Linked DNA regions of Callithrix jacchus. Each later gene encodes a partner of the first gene's protein in a complex. Links are inferred from orthologs where the notes say so. Each region holds a gene or a part of one and is shown in the gene's direction. Other genes may lie near its edges.

What was found.
Region 2: the proteins of LPL (region 1) and GPIHBP1 are in contact, whole or in part, in a crystal structure (PDB 6OAU), measured with the Homo sapiens proteins. The link is inferred for Callithrix jacchus from reciprocal best matches to the Homo sapiens genes LPL and GPIHBP1. Residues at the interface, in NP_000228.1 of Homo sapiens: Tyr367, Gly368, Thr369, Ala371, Glu372, Glu374, Leu403, Met404, Lys406, Lys430, Lys440, Ile443, Cys445, Ser446, Arg447, Glu448, Val463, Lys464, Cys465, His466, Asp467, Ser469; in NP_835466.2 of Homo sapiens: Cys68, Lys69, Ser70, Leu92, Ala94, His95, Gly96, Asn97, Thr98, Glu99, Ser100, Leu103, Thr104, Thr105, Ser107, Trp109, Cys110, Thr111, Asp112, Ile117, Lys119, Val121, Glu122, Thr124, Val126, Met128.

Annotation. Positions count from the first base shown.
Region 1 is NC_133514.1:21,539,509-21,543,316, reverse strand, and holds part of LPL (lipoprotein lipase), read left to right. Parts: intron 1-2,066; coding exon 2,067-2,246; intron 2,247-3,808. UniProt on the Homo sapiens protein: Key enzyme in triglyceride metabolism.
Region 2 is NC_133517.1:54,364,820-54,368,727, reverse strand, and holds the start of GPIHBP1 (glycosylphosphatidylinositol-anchored high density lipoprotein-binding protein 1), read left to right. Parts: upstream 1-1,621; 5' UTR 1,622-1,649; coding exon 1,650-1,835; intron 1,836-2,327; coding exon 2,328-2,433; intron 2,434-2,869; coding exon 2,870-2,995; intron 2,996-3,155; coding exon 3,156-3,200; intron 3,201-3,908.

The DNA of each region.
Region 1 (3,808 bases):
AAGCGATTCTCCTGCCTTAGCCTCCTGAGTAGCTGGGACTACAGGTGCCTGCCACCACACCTGGCTAATTTTGTATTTTTAGTAGAAGTGGAGTTTCACCCTGTTGGCCAGGCTGGTCTTGAACTCCTGACCTCAAATGATCCACCCACCTCGGCCTCCCAAAGTGTTGGGATTATAGGCATGAGCCACTCTGTCTGGCCCAGAAAAAGGAATCTGTAGAGGCACTTTGGTTATATACAGAACTTGGCTTTGAATACTTTTCAAAAATTTTGAGCTTAATAAACACATTTATACAACAGAAATAAACTGAATGTCTCAGACATCTCAATCTTATCCCTGAGAGACTTGGGAAGTTGTGGAAAAACATATTTGTTTTTTATACTAAGATGACATCACCAACCCAATATCAACAGATGGTGCCACTTCTATCATCGGTCCTACAGCCCCACTAAGCCCACCTGCATCTTTCATATCCTGCGTCCTGACACTTTGAGTGCCTGAGCCCAGAGACTGGTGTCTGGCTGTGGGACTGAGTTGGGTCTGTGCAAGAATTAAGCCAGCCACGCTGATCTTGGCTTATCTCAGTGAACTCACTGGCAGGGTCAGGTGGCCCACCTTGTACAGGTGGCAGGGAGGGCTTCAGTTCAGCTGCGTGTCTGAAAACCAAAGATTTAAAACATAGTAATTACTGAACCTCAGAAGAAAAGCTCAGACTGAAAGGACTTAGAAAATAAAACCCTTTTTGAGTTGCCGAAGGTGAGTACTTAGATTTTTCACTCACTTTGTTTGGGGTTACTTCCATCAGTGTTTTATGTTCATCAGATATAAAGGATTCAATTAGTTGGTGTGCAGTTAATAAAGGTGTCAGCCACTATAGGAGTAAGTCGGATGGCCAGCCCTTTTAGATTGCTTAATGTAGAAACACTGAGCTGGGCACGGTGGCTCACGCCTATAATCCCAGCACTTTGGGAGGCCAAGGCAGGCAGATCACTGGAGTTCCGGAGTTCAAGACCAGCCTGGCCAACATGGTGAAACCCCATCTCTACTAAAAAAAAAAAAATGCAAGAAAATTAGCCAGGTGTGGTGGTGTGTGTGTAGTAGTCCAAGCTACTCAGGAGGTAGAGGCAGGAGAATCACTTGAACCAAGGAGGTGGAGGTTGCAGTGAGTTGAGATTGTGCCATTGCACTCTAGCCTAGGGGAGACAGTGAGCCTCTGCTTCAAAAAAAAAAAAAAAAAAGAAAAGAAAAGAAAAGAAAAAAAGAAACAAATGCTGGTAATACAGAAAAACTTATAACAGGACCTAGAGTTAACCAAGATTTTCTTGCTTTATCTGAAAAAGGCTGCCTGGGGACTCAAGGGCACAGACTAAGGGCGACAAGGAGGCTCTCTAGTTGTGTCACTAGAGACCTGAAAGAACTCTTAGCATGCAGCATGCATGCGATACATTCCAGCCTGCTGCTTAGACACAGCTGTCCTGCAGCTTTGCCACTTGCCTGGATGACACTGGCTTTAAGTACAGGGTTTCCATTGTGAAGTCGGAGACCCTGGCTAAAACAGGGAGCCATGAACATTATATTCTGAAGAAATTACATCTTATCTTGATCCTGAAAGTCAACTACAAAGGGTACCCAATGCCCCAACCTTGAGAAGGTGAGATAGGTAGGGAGGAGAAGGTGAGTGGGGTAGGAGCGATTCCTCAGGGTTCTGTTCCCAGTCAGGAGCTCCTGCTAGTTTCCTCAAAGACCCATTTTGCATTCAGACATATCTTTCCTTCTAATAGTATAAACAATCAAAAGTTTACTGAATGTCTAAAATATACTTTTAAAATGGAAAGCATGGTGAACTCCAATCTGCTGTTCCTCAACTCAACCCATCCCTTCCTGCTGTACTTAGATCTGCTTTGGAAGGGACAGACCTGTATGAACACTCTTCCGGTATTTGATTTTTCTATCTGTGCCAGTGGACTTCCAAGTTTGTTTTTTCCATCTCATGCAGGTGTATTAGGCTGACATATCTATGACAAGTGGTAGGTGGTATTTTAAGAAAACTGTGTCATCGTCTTCAGGTAACAGGAATGTATGAGAGTTGGGTACCAAAACTTGTAGCCGCCCTGTACAAGAGAGAACCAGACTCCAACGTCATCGTGGTGGACTGGCTGTCACGGGCTCAGCAACATTATCCAGTGTCTGCGGGCTACACCAAGCTGGTGGGACAAGATGTGGCCAGGTTTATCAACTGGATGGAGGTAAGACTGGGAGAAGAAGACTTATGTGTCCAAAACAATGTTGTTGACTGGAACCAGACAAATGGCTGTTCTTTCTTCTTTTTCTCTTAGATATAAAGATATAAATATTTTCTAGGGTCAATTCAGAACTTCAGAATGAACATGGGTATTATTTTATAGCCAAAAGCACCATTTTGATAAGAACAGTCTATAAGGACAATAATAGTCCTACAGTGCTCTATTGTTTGATATTTTCATAGTGAATAGATCTGCTGAGATCAAGAACTAAGTGGGCCCAACAGACAAAAGCTTGTGATTTCAGGACAAAGGAAAGATGGTATGTCCCGCCAAATCCTTCCCCACCAGTTGGCTGGCCTGTGGACATTTTATCCTCGCCTTGATATACCAATCTCTTCTATGAAAACATTAGTATTTATTCTTTAGTGTGGAATAAGGATGAATATTTTTTTTTGAGCATTAGAAAGTGATGTAATGGAGCTAGGAAGATGTTGGAAGGGAAGGTGCATAGGATAGAAGGGAACTGAGGTCGAGAGTTCTGACTTAGCTGCAAGAGATCCACTTTTTCAGACCATTCCCTAAAAAGTACCTCTAAAAAGTATGCTGGGAGGCCGGGCGTGGTGGCTCAAGCCTGTAATCCTAGCACTTTGGGAGGCCAAGGCGGGTGGATCACGAGGCCAAGAGATCGAGACCATCCTGGTCAACATGGTGAGACCCCGTCTCTACTAAAAGTACAAAAAATTAGCTGGGCATGGTGGCGCGTACCTGTAATCCCAGCTACTCAGGAGGCTGAGGCAGGAGAATTGCCTGAACCCAGGAGGCGGAGGCTGTGGTGAGCCGAGATCACACCATTGCACTCCAGCCTGGGTAACAGGAGTGAAACTCCGTCTCAAAAAAAAAAAAAAAAAAAAGTATGCTGGGGTTGGAAGGAAGCGAATACTCTGACAGAGGCAAATTATTTTAACCAGGTAGTTGGAAGTAAAAATAAGCTGTATTTATTAGACTGGCCATCAAAGGACAAAAGTTCTTTTCTTGGTTCTTTTGCTGACCAGGCAAATGAACACCGGCAAATGGGATCACCTTTCTGGGGCTCAGGCTTCTCACCAGTTAAATGAGGGGCTGGACCATGTGTCTCTGATCCTTCCTACTGTAATGTTTCCTGAGTCTATCATTGCTTGGCTAACCTTCCGTGATAAAGTGATACAGGTATTTAGAGTAGGGAATGATGGGAAAATACATACCCATATACTACATACACAAACATATACACATACACATACATGCATACAAATGTGTATATGTTTGTACATAGAGTATATGGTTATATATGCAAATGCATACACATATACAAATATGTATAGATATATTACATAATAAATAATGCTATTTCAGATGCTTGGAAAGCCTTTGTAATTTAAATCTGTTATTAAAGAAAGAGAAAATCTATACTGGATTTGTTTATGCAAAAGTGAAAAAAAAAAGAGAAAATTGCAACACTAGGCAATATCTTCTCTCTTACCTGTAACACAAAATTAAAATAAGTAGAATTAGTTTTCAGTATTTCC
Region 2 (3,908 bases), on another chromosome or scaffold:
GTAGGGGCTGGATCAGACCCAGCAGCCTTTCCTGGGCGGGACAGAGGGAACAGCCACTCAGCTGCGAGCACTAAATTTAACTCAATCTGCGAATCAAATGTGCTCTGATTGTCCTTAGGTGATTCCGCAATAAGCCCTGGCCTGGGCTGGGCAGTCTGCACCTGGGCTGAGGAGAAGCTGGGCCCAGAGGGAGGCAAGGGGCAAGGGCCTGGGCCCCGGGAGAGGGGAGGCAGCAGGTGGAGACTCCCTGCTCTCAACAGTCCTGAGAACCCCAGTAGCGCCCTTCCTAGGAGCAGCTCCTGCAGCACTAGATTCAAGGGCCTGTAGTGGGAGCCGGGGCGGAGAGCAGGGAGGCGGGACGACGGAGAGGCGGGGTGACAAGGAGGCGGGCGTGGGGGAGGCGGGGCGACAAGGAGGCAGGGCGAATGGGAGGCAAGGCAATGGGGAGGTAGAGTGTGGGGAGGCGGGGCGCCAGAAAGGCGGGGCGACGGGGAGGCGAGGCGCGGGGGAGGTGCGGCATGGGGGGGCGGGGCGATTGGGAGGCGGGTTTGAGGGCGGAGCGACGGGGAGGTGGAGCTATGGGGAGGCGGGCTTGAGGGCGGAGCAACGGGGAGGTGGAGCGATGGGGAGGCGGGCTTGAGGGCGGAGCGACGGGGAGGTGGAGCGATGGGGAGGCGGGGCGGGCCTTGGGGAAAGCAGGGAGAGGGCCATTCGGGGCTGGATGAGGGCTCAGGGGAGGCGGGTCCGTGGGGAGGTGAATCCATAGGGAGGCGGGGCAGTGGGATAGGCGGGCGGAAAGCAAGAAGGTGCTGGGAGGCAGGTTGGGGTGAGACCACAGGCAGACGGGCGGGGCTGGGCTGGGGGGAATGGCACCAGGTATGAAGAGAATGGGGCCTGCGGGGTGTGTCCGCATGAGCACCGCTGTGGGCGACCCTGGCTTGGAAAGTGGCCTTGCAGCCTTGGACTGGGAAGGTCTGGACGCTGGGTGGGTGCCCGCGGAGTGGAAAGAATGACAGATTCGAGATGAGCGAAGGTGGCTGAGACATCAGAGACAGGTATTCCCAGCCTCAGGCGCTGCCCTAAGCCCAGCAAGTCACCTCATCCCATGAAGGAGCTGAAACCCGGCAAACCCAAGGGGCTAGTCCAGGACCCAAAGCCTGGGGAAGGAAGAACCTGGTCCTAAACCCAGGCGGCTCATTCCAGAACCAACTCAACCTCTGTTACAGGTGGCAGGCCAGAAAATGCCCCACCCCACCCGTTGAAAGTCGGCGAAACTGAGGTCTCGGAAGGCGATCACAGTCCCGGAGCACAGGGGCCTCCAGAGACCCCCTGCAGGGGCTTAGGGAGAAGGAGGGGATGTGGCTGGAGTCCCCAGGCCAGAGGGATGTGGATGGCCCAAGCTCCAAAGCACACAGATGTGCAGGCTTGACCCTGGCTCCGGGCTCCCGTCCAACCCTGGCTGCTGCCCCACCCCTCTGCTGCACTAGGGAGAGGGGCAGCTCGGAGCCTGGACTCTACCCTCTGCATCCTCCCCTAGGGGCTCTGCATCCGCTTTGGTGGAGGGGGTTGGTTCAGGGAGAGGCCTGGGGGTGCCAAGCCTCTCCCAGAGCAGCCATCTCTCACACAAGGCCAGAAGGGAGGTAAGGCTGATGGCTTTCCCAGCTGGAGGCCGAGGGAGCAGGCTCAGCAGCTCTGGAAAGCTCTCCACAGGACACAAGCAAGAACAGCACTGCAGACAGAGGGAACAGCAGGGGCAAAGGCTGGAGGTGGAAGTGAGGGGCAGTCAGGAGGCCTCAGGACCAGCAAACACACTGCTGAGTGGGGGTGAGGAAGAGGTGAATACACAGCCTTAGCTTGCGGGCATTGACTGTTTTTATCTAAACACTCTTAAAGGGGCCTGGGTGGGATGCTGGCTCTGGGATGAAGATGCTTGGCCAGTGATTGGCAAATAGAGGGTCTGTGACCCAAGCTCCTGTGGCTGTGGAGCCCAGACACGGGGTTGGGGGTATCAGGCATGGCCTAATCAGAGGCGAGACTCCCTGTCCTGCCCTGCGGGGCTGAGGCACTGAGCAGCAAGCCAGGGCAGGGCCAGCAGCTCCTGTGGCCAGCACCATCTTCAGCCGCCATAGTACAGGTGCACAGGACGCTCCAAGGCCAACCACAATGACTTATCCTTCCCCTCTGGCCCCAGAGGTCCTGGAGGGAAACGACAGTCCCTGGCCTGGCGCCTGGAGCTGGGGACCAGTGTGAGGCCCATTGTTTGAGGCTGGAGCTGGTGGGGGCCACTGGGAAGCCCCCAGCAATGCCCTTCATCCCACTTACCGCAGCTCCAGAGCCCTACACAAGGACTCAGAGTCAGGGACACAGCAGCGACCGGCGAGATGAAGGTGCTTGGAGCTGTCCTGCTTGTCCTGCTTCTATGCAGGTGGCCAGGTACAGAGCAAAGGGTAACCCTGTGGTGGGGGGCAGCAGGCGCAGTCCCGGAGCAGGACCTCCAGGGACCCCCAGCAGGGGCTTAGGGAGAAGGAGGGGATGAGGCGGGAGCCCCCAGGCCAGAGGGGCATGAATGGAAGCTGACCTGGGCCCCCGAGAGTCCCCAAACATCTGTGGCCCTATTTACGTGGGGTGTGAGGAGGGGCCATCATAAAGTGCCAGCCCACAGCAGCTGCTGTTGTACCGCCAATGCCAGGGCATGCTTGGCTGCAGGACAGTGAGCAGGGCATGCGCGGGCCAGAGGTGACACCAGGTAGGCTGCCCTGGGGCCTGTGGAGGTGGGGGGTGCCAAGGAGTGGGGAGCACAACACTTGCCCAGAGCCGGTATCCCAAGTATCTGGGTAGCTGAGGCTTACAAGCATTTTTGCACCGCCAGGGAGAGGGCAGGCAGAGCCGGAGGAGGAGGAGGAGGAGGAGGACTACAGGCCAGATGGCTACGATGAGGAAGATGAGGATGAGGTGGAAGAGGAGACTGACAGGCTCCCTGGTGGCAGGGACAGAGGTACAGCCACCCGACCCCAGGGCCCTGCTCTGCTTGGAGCGTTCTGGGAGCCCGCCTGTGGTGGAAGCCAACAGGCCAAAGCCCTGCTGTGAGTTTACCTCCAGCAGAGTGGGGGACGCCCAGCGCACCCCTCACTTCTCCCAGTCACCATGACATTCAGTTGCCTTCCAGAGTCGGGAACAGAGGAAGAAGCCACCAACTGGGAGTGAGTGGTGCCAGGATGTAGAAGTTAGACAGGAGCTCACCCGGCAGAGAAGGGCTCAGTGGGGCCCAGGGAGACAGCAGGTGCAGGGCCCCAGGGTTGGGTTCAGTTTGGTGGGGCAGAGGGAGCAGCAGGTGGGCAGCCCTGTGCAGGGGAGGGCTGGACTGCCTGCTGCAGGCTGGGGAGCCAGGGAAGCGCTGAAAGCAGAGCAGAGTGGAGCTAGTAAGAGCCCACCCTCAGCGTCCACTCCTACGCCCCCTGCACAGTGGGGCCACCCTCTGCTCTCCCCCATCCGAAGAACAAAGCAGAGCAAATTGCTGCATCCAACCCACTGCTGGCCCCTCAAGCCGGGGCTCCCAGCACGCCCCACCACACCCAGCTCACCCCCGCCCCAGAGCCCCCAGGCCTGCCCTCAGCCCAAGCCCCAACCCACACACCCACGAGGTGTCCCCTGTGAGGTCCTCTTCTGCCAGGCCTGGTGCTCCCGCAGGCAGGACTGAGTCGGACTCACTGCCAGGTCTTCCATCCCACAGCAGGAGCCTGGGCAGAACTGTCATGGGAGCTGAGTGATAAGGGAAAGTTCACCCTCCTGGCCCGAAATCCCTCAGCCCTGAACACACAGGCTCACGTGCATAGCACAGTTCCCAGGGCCAAGCTGGGGTCACCAGCCCATCTGAGCAGCGGGTACCGAAGTCTCAGCAGGCTAGGCTT